Neodiprion lecontei: one gene and its partners. The protein of the gene in region 2 interacts with the protein of the main gene of each other region in a biochemical or structural test. Links are inferred from orthologs where the notes say so. Each region holds a gene or a part of one and is shown on either strand. Other genes may lie near its edges.

What was found.
Region 1: the proteins of E3 ubiquitin-protein ligase MARCHF6 (region 2) and ubiquitin-conjugating enzyme E2 J2 form a complex in vitro, tested with the Homo sapiens proteins (2 studies listed by BioGRID, with this or other methods). The link is inferred for Neodiprion lecontei from reciprocal best matches to the Homo sapiens genes MARCHF6 and UBE2J2.
Region 3: the proteins of E3 ubiquitin-protein ligase MARCHF6 (region 2) and ubiquitin-conjugating enzyme E2 G2 form a complex in vitro, tested with the Homo sapiens proteins (2 studies listed by BioGRID). The link is inferred for Neodiprion lecontei from reciprocal best matches to the Homo sapiens genes MARCHF6 and UBE2G2.

Annotation. Positions count from the first base shown.
Region 1 is NC_060263.1:37,178,011-37,181,766, reverse strand, and holds the start of ubiquitin-conjugating enzyme E2 J2, read left to right. Parts: upstream 1-1,359; 5' UTR 1,360-1,928; coding exon 1,929-2,053; intron 2,054-2,209; coding exon 2,210-2,444; intron 2,445-2,692; coding exon 2,693-2,821; intron 2,822-2,917; coding exon 2,918-3,130; 3' UTR 3,131-3,756. Other genes in the region: serine/threonine-protein kinase Pink1, mitochondrial, read right to left, coding at 648-762. UniProt on the Homo sapiens protein: Catalyzes the covalent attachment of ubiquitin to other proteins. Seems to function in the selective degradation of misfolded membrane proteins from the endoplasmic reticulum (ERAD).
Region 2 is NC_060264.1:29,024,498-29,028,253, reverse strand, and holds the start of E3 ubiquitin-protein ligase MARCHF6, read left to right. Parts: upstream 1-1,106; 5' UTR 1,107-1,254; intron 1,255-1,279; exon of another isoform or gene 1,280-1,420; intron 1,421-1,451; exon of another isoform or gene 1,452-1,694; intron 1,695-1,719; 5' UTR 1,720-1,764; coding exon 1,765-2,151; intron 2,152-2,231; coding exon 2,232-2,562; intron 2,563-2,661; coding exon 2,662-3,056; intron 3,057-3,141; coding exon 3,142-3,756. Other genes in the region: uncharacterized protein C7orf50 homolog, read right to left, coding at 1-191, 387-564, 667-833. UniProt on the Homo sapiens protein: Endoplasmic reticulum membrane-associated E3 ubiquitin ligase that plays a critical role in mitigating endoplasmic reticulum stress, the regulation of cholesterol and lipid homeostasis, and ferroptosis.
Region 3 is NC_060266.1:5,469,944-5,473,699, forward strand, and holds ubiquitin-conjugating enzyme E2 G2, read right to left. Parts: upstream 2,232-3,756; 5' UTR 1,992-2,231; coding exon 1,949-1,991; intron 1,855-1,948; coding exon 1,773-1,854; intron 1,057-1,772; coding exon 938-1,056; intron 856-937; coding exon 596-855; 3' UTR 469-595; downstream 1-468. UniProt on the Homo sapiens protein: Accepts ubiquitin from the E1 complex and catalyzes its covalent attachment to other proteins. In vitro catalyzes 'Lys-48'-linked polyubiquitination. Involved in endoplasmic reticulum-associated degradation (ERAD).

The DNA of each region.
Region 1 (3,756 bases), on a different chromosome or scaffold from region 2:
TCAAGAATTCTTGTTCATTAGTAATCAATCAACTAACTAATTGATACATAAAAATCTGAATTGAATTAAAAATTGTCCCATAAGTATGATAGTAAACAAGAATGTTTGCTTTTGATTCTGTAATTCTTTGTGTTGTTCTCAACATGAAAGTAATTTATTCCTACTCTCTCGCATAAAATGATGTTTCAAGTCGAAAGTATGGAATAAAACAATGAGAATACACTCTACACTGAATTGAAGCGGGAGTAAAATCTAACATTATTATGAGCACCAGTCGCGTTAAACGTATATAATCACATGTAAAATGCTGAGTATATAAAATTGTACAAAACTTGGAAGTGCGTATAATCGCAACAATGAAGGTGCCTCGAGTGATTTTACTAAAAAAAAAAAAAAAGACAATGAAAACAACGATTCGTACCAGCTCTGAGATTGGAAATGACGTTTCAAATGAATGCAGTATTTACATATACATTCCAAGTACGACATACCTATAATACGCCGTTACGTTGCAAGGGATAACCTAATGATAGTGACATGGTTATTTGTGACGATTGCCAGCGAATTGGTACCGGACTGATGAGATTGATGTGTCGAGTCGATTTGAGTATGATAGTCACGGGTAGAAGATGACAACAGGCCCTTACCTACTTCCACAACGTGTATTTTGTTGCCTTGCGTGTAATATTGTGGATTGCGTACTGAACGGAGAAGGACACGACCATTTTGCAGGAGACGTTGCGCTACCGTTCGTAACGACATTTCTCCGCACTCGTGGGCCGAGAGAGCCCGGGCGGGCCCTAACCCAGACGCGAAGAGTTTTAACTGGAAAATTTTGATCGCGCAATTATCAAGAGTCCTGGAACACTCTAATTATTTTTAAAAGAATTCGAACACGTCTTTTGTCGCCAGTTCAAAGTTCACCATTTGCAATTATCATACCCATGGATGAACCTGCCTTTCGGACCCGATTGGGTGAAATCAGCCTCCATTTTGCGCAGACTCGAAATCCGCAAAAGCGCGGGAAAATATGAAATCAGGAAACAGGACGTATACTACTCGCGGGTTTTTCCTTCTTTCGGATAAGGTACCTAGTGAAGCTGAATGCGACAAAAAAATCGTATCGCCAACAACGCTAATATAACGGTATAAGTATAATTAATTTTTCTGTCATAGCATAGATACTTATCATACTTCCTAGTTCGCAAGTACATCCGCGATTGTGGCGTTATAAAGGTAAACTTGCGTTGTAAAATCTGTTCAGTCTACTGATGATACATTTGGCGAAGTGCGAGGACACGCATAAAGAAAAATAATTCCAGTCAACCAACTTCTCTCAGTCTGAATTGATCCGTATTTACGATTCGAATGACGAAAGTGCGCCTGACAATGAGCGATACTTGGAATATAATGGTCATGCGTAAAGCGCACAAGTCAACTACGCAGGATGCTGGATTGTTTCACTTCCGGTATACGGGTCTTCCATCATATGTTTGTGTGCCGTGAAAATTGTTGGTTGTCAAAGTCGAAGGATATTTTTTCATTCGTTGTGACTCCTGATTTCTAACAATCGCAATAATATTCGCCCCGTATTTAGCCAGGTATTATCAAAACTCTGCGAGTGTACCGTGAAGTCGTATTTTCCAAACGCTCAAATTCCAGTTAACCTTTACAACGTTGACGTGGTTTTTTTTTTTTTTTATCATTTTTTTTTTTCATCGTCAAAACTGACGTCTGACTCCTCTACGAAAATAGGTTATCACGTTATACGTATACATGTAATTAATTGTATCGCGGTAATGTGTCTCACGAAAAACAGTTGAGCCTGATGTGAGAAATAATTAATACTCATTCGTGAATACAAGTGTGAAAACAGTGAAGTTTCCATTACCAATAGTACCGATCAACCCAGCCTAGTTTATATATATATGGTAATAATGAATAGAAAGCCAAACACTGCCACTGCTAGATTAAAGCAAGACTATTTGAGACTGAAAAAGGACCCGGTGCCGTACGTCGTAGCTGAACCCGTACCTTCGAATATATTAGAATGGTAATAAAGATAACATTATTTTGATCCTTCGCGTGCGTAAAAGATTGACAATTCATCCATTTGCACAATATTGATGTCAGTCGACGTATAGCATTGAATCAGGCTGCAAGCCTACGACGAGACAATTGATTTGTTTATTTATTTTTATACTTACAGGCATTATGTTGTCAACGGTCCGGAAAGTACACCTTACGAGGGTGGATTTTATCACGGAAAGCTCGTATTTCCACGGGAGTTTCCTTTCAAACCACCTAGCATATACATGACCACGCCAAACGGCAGATTCAAAGTAAACACACGGCTTTGTCTATCCATATCCGATTTTCATCCAGACACTTGGAACCCGGCATGGAGTGTTTCCACCATTCTCACCGGTCTCCTTAGCTTCATGGTAAGAAGGCTTCAGTAAAGTACATTTCCCATGTGCTAGTACTTCACATTGAAATTGCATATTTTTTTTAAGGTTTTCGCCAATATTGTTTCAAAAACTGTTGCAATACTTAAAACAAATGGAAAAATTCATATTCTACTTATTGTTGACATGTTGCTGGTTTCAGTCAAAATTTCAAATATTTACAATGTATTAAAAGTTTTGAGATATTGGAAAACTGTTGAAATATGGATATTGTTTTCGCACAGATTGAAAAGAGCCCGACACTGGGCAGCATAGAGACACCAGACTATGAAAAAAGGCTGTTGGCATCGCAGAGCCTTGAGTACAACCTCAAGGATAGTACATTTTGTGAATTATTCCCAGACACGGTATCGGTAAGTCGATAACCTCTTTGTTTAATGAATTTTTAAGATTCATTTACTCATTATGCAGCAAACTAGATACATAGATGCAATGATTTCACTCGATAGGCTATAAAAGCAGAGTTGGAGCACCGCAAGGAACTGGAAAAGCAAGCAAGGCATCAGTCGACAGCATCTGAAGTATCTTCGTTAATTAGAGATCAGTTTCAGAGAGAACAGAGTCCGCTTCATAGTGCCCTCACTAACCTCATTGTTATCGTAGGTTTTGCCGCGTTTGCCTATACTGTGAAGTATGTTTTGAGAAGCATTGCTACCGAGTAAATTAATTCTAGTTATATCATAGACATATTATGTTCTGTTCTACTGAAAACCTAAGAATGGGGTTCGTGTTTCTGTTATAAAAACACACTAGGAGCTTCGAAAGATCTGATATCTAGCGACTGGTCGAGCAGACGTAGGTAATAGTTCTTTTGTCCTGGACACGGATTTGATAGGAAACAATGATGTTGTTTTGATACCGAGAATGACTATTCAGTCTAATGTAACCAGGTCCGTAATCACATGGTTGAGTGAATTACTCGCATTATCCAACTCAAACATATGCATTTCCATTATTCATCTATAATATTTCTTTTTAACAATTATTTGCTTCAATTTTCATGTGTTATCTAGTATTCGCATTATAATTATCGTTGAATATGCAGATTCTAAATCACAAAATATTAGTAATATGAAGAAGATATATTTCTATAGATTTATAGAATACCTTCTACCTTGTTATTCATTTTAATTAAGCACAATATTACTCGCGAAATCATGCAAATTTTTCAATTTATTTCATGTTTTTCATTCATGAAAAACGATGGTCGAAAATTTTTGCATGTCTTCAGCTATGCAGAAACAATTACACAACAAAGTATGGAATTGAGTATGTATGATGCTCGACC
Region 2 (3,756 bases):
TCCTCGACTTTCTTTACTACTTGCATCATTTTTTTAACTAGCTGTTGCCTTGCCATTCCTTTGCAACCTTCAAAATATTCCAAAGCTATAGGAAATATCGAGTCTGGCACTGAATTGTGATCGAGCAAATGGTCCATCAGCCATATCTGTCTTAGTTTTTCAAACTTCCAGTCGCTCTTCGCATGCTTCCACTGTAAGTTAAATTAAGTTCTATAGGAACATTAAGGGGCTGCCCTGGTCGATTTCGACGACGATATATATATATATTTTTTGCATTTGAGATACCTGAAACTTGATATATGAAGATTTATAAGGCAATGTCAAAATCAACTAGGGCACCTTCTTAGGACTATTTACATAAAAAAATTATAGGCTATCGCAGGTACCTTAGATATATAAGTGATCGCTTTTTGAGCTGCTTCTAATTTGCTAGATTCTTTTTGCTCAGCAATTTTCCTCTGCAGCTTCTCCTTCTTCATCTGTCTTTTAGAAGGTTCCTTAGGTTCCTTCGCGGGACTTTCTTCAGTCGATACTCCAGCCTCGTCATCGTTTTCAATTTCTTTGCTGGAAATAGAAGTTCGCTTATTACACTTATCACTATCGTCAGTACAGTTTTGGAGAACGATTCTTTCTCAATAACTAGTTACTAATAAAAACAGAGCGTACCTCGGACGCAATTTCTTCGACTCGATTTCAAACACAGGATCAGTCACTGCCTTTTTTCGTTTTCCTGGCTTCGACTGTTGGTCCTCGACAACCTGCTCCTGTTTATCACTACGTCGTCTTTTTTTACGCCCCGCTTCCTTCTTGTGTGATTTCTCATCGACGTCCATTCAAACTTGATAACCTATTCTCCCTGAAGCAACCGGCCTCGGTGTTGATAACCTTCAAAATCTTGTTCAATCTGTTCATCCGCGTATGTGATGTCCGCGTGTTTCTTTCTCATATTGCATGGTACCGCTCTAGAGGTGAACAGGCAAACATGTAACTTATTTCTGATTGGGTGCGCCACGAACCCATACGACGCGACGAGGAAGTTAAGAGGAAGTGCGATTTCACGGACGTTTTTTGTTCCTACAACTACATTCGCGATTGGTTGGTACGACTGCAAGTGAGAGGAGAGAAGCAGCTGGAAATAGCAGTAGATATTTTGTCACGACATTTATGATCCATCAATAGTTTTCGATTTTGTTCCACAATTTGGTACGAGAAGAAAGTAAAATATTCGTATATACAATATACGTAGACACATACGTGAGTAAGAGCTCTCATAACGTACCTTTACACTACACGCAGCGATGAATATATAGTTTTATTATTGCAATATGAACCGATGTTTTGACGACGAAAATACCATCGCCTACACATCACCTCCGACTTACATTTTAGGACTCGTTTTTAAGGCACATTTCTCATGATACGAGTAGCAGAATACGAAGGTATCCTCTTACCGTTCGTTACGTAACAACGTAAATATATACACTCGGCAATATCTTGATGTTTTTGTGACATTCAATCCGCCCTTAACCCCACTGACGATGCGCCAAATTCCGCTATTATTACCGTCGAATATATCACTTGGTATAACGCAATTTCAACAGAAATCATTTCCTCGAGTTAAGTTACGACATTTACAATCGCGATGTCAGCCGTGTATTTTTCAAAGCATAAGACATTTGTATAACTGCCTTTTTGCACAGGAATGACTTTCCCTTTCAGCTACATTGGTGGTGAAGCAAATATTACCAACATAACTTAACCAACATGACGGAGGACATGTTAGGGTCAGACATATGCAGGGTCTGCAGATCCGAAGGTTTGGCGGATAGGCCGCTGTTCCATCCATGCATTTGCACCGGCAGTATTAAATGGATACATCAGGAGTGCTTAGTGCAGTGGATGCGGTATTCGCGGAAAGAATACTGTGAATTATGTGGCTACCGCTTCTCCTTCACGCCGATCTACAGTCCTGACATGCCCAGACGTCTTCCTCTACGAGATGTTGTCGGCGGGCTGCTTTCCAGTATCGTTACAGCTGTCAAATATTGGCTTCATTACACCTTGGTCGCCATTGCATGGCTCGGCATTGTTCCACTCACAGCCTGTCGAACTTATCGTACTCTTTTCAGCGGGTCTCTGGATTTAGTTCGGGTTAGTCATCTAAGTATATCTACGTCCATCCAAATATCTCATGGTTTGGAAAAAGAAAATCATTGTATTTTTTTTCTCAGATAATGTCGCTGCCGATGGATATGCTTTCGACAGAAAATTTATCCTCAGACGTGTTCCATGGGTGCTTCGTAGTAACCTGCACTCTTTTTGGTTTCATCGGGCTGATTTGGCTGCGTGAACAAATTCTCCATGCTGGAGGACCCGACTGGCTTGAGAGAGACAATGTACAGTTGCCTCCGGTTGATAACCCTCCTCATCGAGATGGGCAGGATGGTCAAGCAGGACAAGACCAGCCTGCAGATAATCAGCCGCAAGCTCAGGATAACAATAATGTACCTCCCTTTGTTGAAGAACCTCCCATTTTGCAGGAGAGACAACACAATATCGAAGGTTACTTTTAAAATTGATGCAACTTACAATCTTACTGTACGATTGTTGATCAAGAACATTTTTTTTCAAATACTGATAATGTTTCTTTAATATTCACAGAAAACCAACATGATATTCCACTGGATCCCGATATAGGCGAAGGCATACTGAACAATGCTCCCGAAAATCCAGAGGAATATATATTAAACCCAGAAGTTGGTGAAAATAACATAGGGAATCCAGATGGGGCGCTCAGAGGTGAAGAAGAAGAACCAGTATTTCCTCCCAGGGACGAGCCAGGCATAGATGGTGCCCAGCCCAATGTCCAGGCTGGTGCAGGATGGAGGGCACAAGGTCAAGGCCAGGGGGAGGCTGAAGAGGCAAATTGGAATCCCATGGAATGGGATCGACCAGCCGAGGAACTAACTTGGGAGCGACTGTTGGGATTAGACGGGTCGCTTCTTTTCATTGAGCATGTTTTCTGGGTGGTTTCGTTGAACACTCTGTTCATAATGGTGAGCATAGAGAGATTGAAGATGAACATTGCTATGTTTGAGATGTCTTGAATCAATTACATCACCAATTCATTTTTCATTCTAGGTGTTTGCCTTCTGCCCTTATCACATTGGGCACATCACAATAGCGTGGCTAGGTCTACAAGAACATGTAACAGCCTCGCATTTCGAGGGACTAGTAACAACGCTTTGCGGTTACTGTGTGATCGCCGTTTCTATGGTGGTTTTGCACACACTAGCAGCTCTTCTAGGTTTGCAGCGATCGCAGAGGGTTCTAGGCCTTTGTTACGTTGTCGTGAAGGTCTCTTTATTGTCAGTTGTAGAGATAGGAGTCTTGCCACTAGTGTGCGGCTGGTGGCTCGACATCTGTTCTCTCGCAATGTTTGACGCCAGTCTCAGAGACAGAGAATCTTCGTTCAGGCTGGCGCCTGGAACTTCAATGTTCATTCACTGGCTTGTCGGAATGGTTTACATATATTATTTTGCCTCGTTCATTCTACTTCTAAGAGAAGTTGTGAGGCCAGGGGTTCTCTGGTTTCTCAGAAACTTGAATGATCCGGATTTCTCGCCTATCCAAGAGATGATACATCTACCACTGCTCAGACACGCCAGAAGACTCGTCGCGTCTGCAGTCATATTTGGAACCGTCGTACTACTAGTACTCTGGTTGCCAGTGAAGCTGCTCAGGTGGGGATGGCCG
Region 3 (3,756 bases), on a different chromosome or scaffold from region 2:
CTACCTAAAGATGGTTAGTATTATTAGTTTACAAGCAATCCGTTATTAGGAAGATATATTTAATTTGTAATCAACTCAGTATTATTCCAAGAAAAATATTTAACATGTTTTTCAATTTACATTGAACAATAATTAATCGCTATCAAGGAAACAAATAATTGTTACATTACGGACAGACCAGCCGTATGATTATTTAATTTGTTTAATACATGTTATGTCATGTTTGTACAGTCGTTTTTCCATATACTTACCCACACCTGGAACTTTGTTTTCAGTAGTTTGTGCCGAGTCTGGAATTTGTATCTTTGTTTGGTTTTTTTTAGAGCCATTCAAATTGAATGGATCGAACGCATACCTCGGCGAAATGGTGAAATCGAATGAAACATATTTCATTAGAACTGCATTCTTTACTGATCATTGAATACAGATGGACGATGGGGAAAAATATATATCACAGAGATAACACAGTTTTGAAAACCTAAATTCCATATTTCACGTTTTATATACAATTATTTTGATAATTTAACGAGCAGTAAATAAATGATGAAAACAATTGGTACATAGATAACATTGGATTCATTTTTATGATATAAGACTATATTGGAATTCCAAGAGTCTTCTTAACTAGCTTCTGTGCAATTCTCTCAAATTCAAGGCGATCTTCTCTCCACATTTTAGCCGCGTCAACATTAGCTCCGCTCTCATCGTTAGGCTCTGCCAACATGCTGACGACACTCAATAAAATTTTTTCTACACTCTGCACAGGACTCCATCTTTCCGCGCTACTTTCGTAACCCATCGGATCATCTCCCGGCGCGTGAAGAATGCTAATGCAAACTCTTCCATCAGCATATACTGTGGGTTTAAAATTCCATCAACACTTCACACAATTGTATACTTATTTCCCATATATTGGATGAATATTTCCAAAACTTACTGTTCGGATGAAACATCTCACATGTGAATTGCATCTTTGGAGGACTCAGGGGATAATCAGGGGGAAAAATTAGCTTTGCTGGAAATACTCCGCCTTCAAAGCAAGTTCCTTCGGGTCCGCTGCATAATTCATATTCAATATAATTCTGAATGTAATGGGTACTTAATGTACATTATTACATTTCATTTCACATAGATGTATCCCATAGAATCTACAATTCCCACAGAAAGAACTTTTAATGGTGAGTTATGAAATGTCAATGATCAGATTTCTCGCCCTGACCTTTTCATTATCCTCAAATTTTTGGATCGAACTTCACCTTACTGAACAATTAAAAGAACATAGTTTTATTCTTCTGTGTTGATTTTTGTTAGAAATTCACCTCAAATTGTAAAATGTGGCAGATGTTTCTCATCATTAGAAATAATAGAACAAAATCCCAGTGTCAAAATTTCAGACTTTTCATATACCAAAAGCAAATTTTTCTGCTGATCAATTTTTAATGTTTGACCGTCTAAATCAATTAATAAATTTGAAATAAGAAATTTCCGACAATAGAGGGATTGTTCGATTTTTTTTTACATATTATTGGCAGAGTTGAAACGAAAGAAATTTTTGGCGCCAACTTACGGAACAATTTGAATATTTAAAAAATATGGCGCATCGCAGTTGTTTTTTTTTTTTTTTTTACCGAGAAAAACTGGTTCGTAGGCCTATCTTCGCTATGAGATACCGCCAATGCAGCAATTTTAATTAATATGGAAGACATGAAGTGTCAGCTGTCAGTTTCGATTTAAGTAACAGACGTGTTGAAAGAAAAGTTCGGTTGACTCACGTGATCAAAGCTTCCCATTCGAAAAAATTCTCCTCGTTAATTGGTCCGGCGATTATTCCTTCCGGAGGATTCAGTGTCAATTCTGAAAAATATTCAACAATTTTGAGGTTATGTAGAATATATTTCACGTCAATTGTATCAGCATGTATACCGTGAGAAACAAAACATTCTCTCACGTTTGTATTCTGCCATTAAACGTCTAAGAGCAGAACCCGCCATAATTATTGCTAAATATTATTCGCCCAAGTTAACACGGTCGATTCAACATGTCACCTATGGTAATTTTGGGATACTTTCACTGCTGTGGCCGCTACACTTTCCTACACTGATATCAAAATGATGAAAATCTGCCAATGAAATACTGCGCTCTACCGGCTGGCGTATAAAATGTTCAAAAGTGTAGCGGTGTTGGGTAATGAGACTTTTTTATTGGTACTGTTTCCGATCATGCACAGCGTACGTTTCAAAATGCGCCGCCAGCGCTAAAAAATCAACAAGACAGAGACAGAACTCGTAGTTAACCCATCGGTGCAACAGCAATAAAATATAAGTGACTGTACCGCCAACTAACTCCGGAACAAAGTCAGAAAGTGCATGGAAGTGCAGTAGCGGTAAAAGGACCTTCGGCACAATCTTTCGCCGTTAATGTATCATTTTAAACCAGCAAACTCTGCGAATGGTTGTTTAACTCGTCAAGCAAGTAACTAATAGACCGTCGATTACATTTGTAGGGATTCAATGGATTATTGAGCTCTATTCGACCCCACACTGCAGTCTTTTTGCTGTTTCATGTAAAGCTGAAATTAATTATGCACCGCACAAAATAAATTGAAATTTCCAAACACCGCGAAGCGAAAATACGGTGACAAGAGGTCCAAAGCAACAACGCGTTGTTTCGGAAGTCAAATACGTAAGACGTCTTAACAAACAAATTACTTTCGGCTTTGCTAACATTGTCCAGAAAGTTTTGAATATATACTAATTGCATTGTTCACAAATTTGGAAATTTATAATACTGATCGAATATCGTTTTCTGGTATTGTGTATCAGCAGCGAAAACAGCTGTAGACAAAGCGTAGCAAAGTCTGGCGCTGGTGAAGAGACTTTGAAAAAGTCTGTGTGGCGTGCGGGTCGCGACACTAACGGACGAACACGCTCATCATTGACCGAGCCATATGGTTTAGTGCTGGATTTCAAGCCGTGAGCGTTTAGTTCGACTCGGTGAGCGTTGCCCACCGTTTCACCGTTCGCTGCTTTCTCAGTTCCCGGTTATCGAAGTGTTCAGTCGCCATCTTGCGTATCGATCGTGGTGGTGATGCTTGTTTGTTTGCAGCCAACTTCAGTCGGGTGTAGAAATTTCTCCACTTTTGTGTAGAGTGTGAAGGTCCTCCGTCGTTTGTGCTCTCGATGTGTGCTGCCCCGTGATAAGGAGAGAGAAGAAAAGAAATAAAAAAAAATAAATAAATATACACATAATAACAACGTGTACCCGTAATAACGACAATAGAAACCTAAAGAAAAAAAAAAAACATCAATTTCTTGTTTGAAAATTAATCCATCAGTGTGTTGTATACTTGTAATAATTAAGGAGCCACTTTCCGGTAAGTAATTTACGATAATATAAAAACGGTGAAAAATCTAGCAGGGTATTAACGAAAACTAAGTATGTAGAACTCTACCGACACGGTGAAATCTAGAAACTCAAGTCTTGCCCAACTAAGGGGAAAAAAAGGGCCGCCTTACTCCGACCGGAGTAGAAAATCAGCACGCTAGTTTTCGATTAAATGAGGGTTAGATTCGCCCGATTATCACTTATTGGTGTGCTACACATGCATTCCCTAAACCTTTCCTGTCTCTGCGATGTTAACGCGATATTCGATAGCGTTCGGACCACGTAGGTAACCTGTGTGAATGTGTGCGTGTCTATATTCACGTCGAAAGATGAGATACGTCATTTTCCGTTGATAAAGGAATCGTATTATCG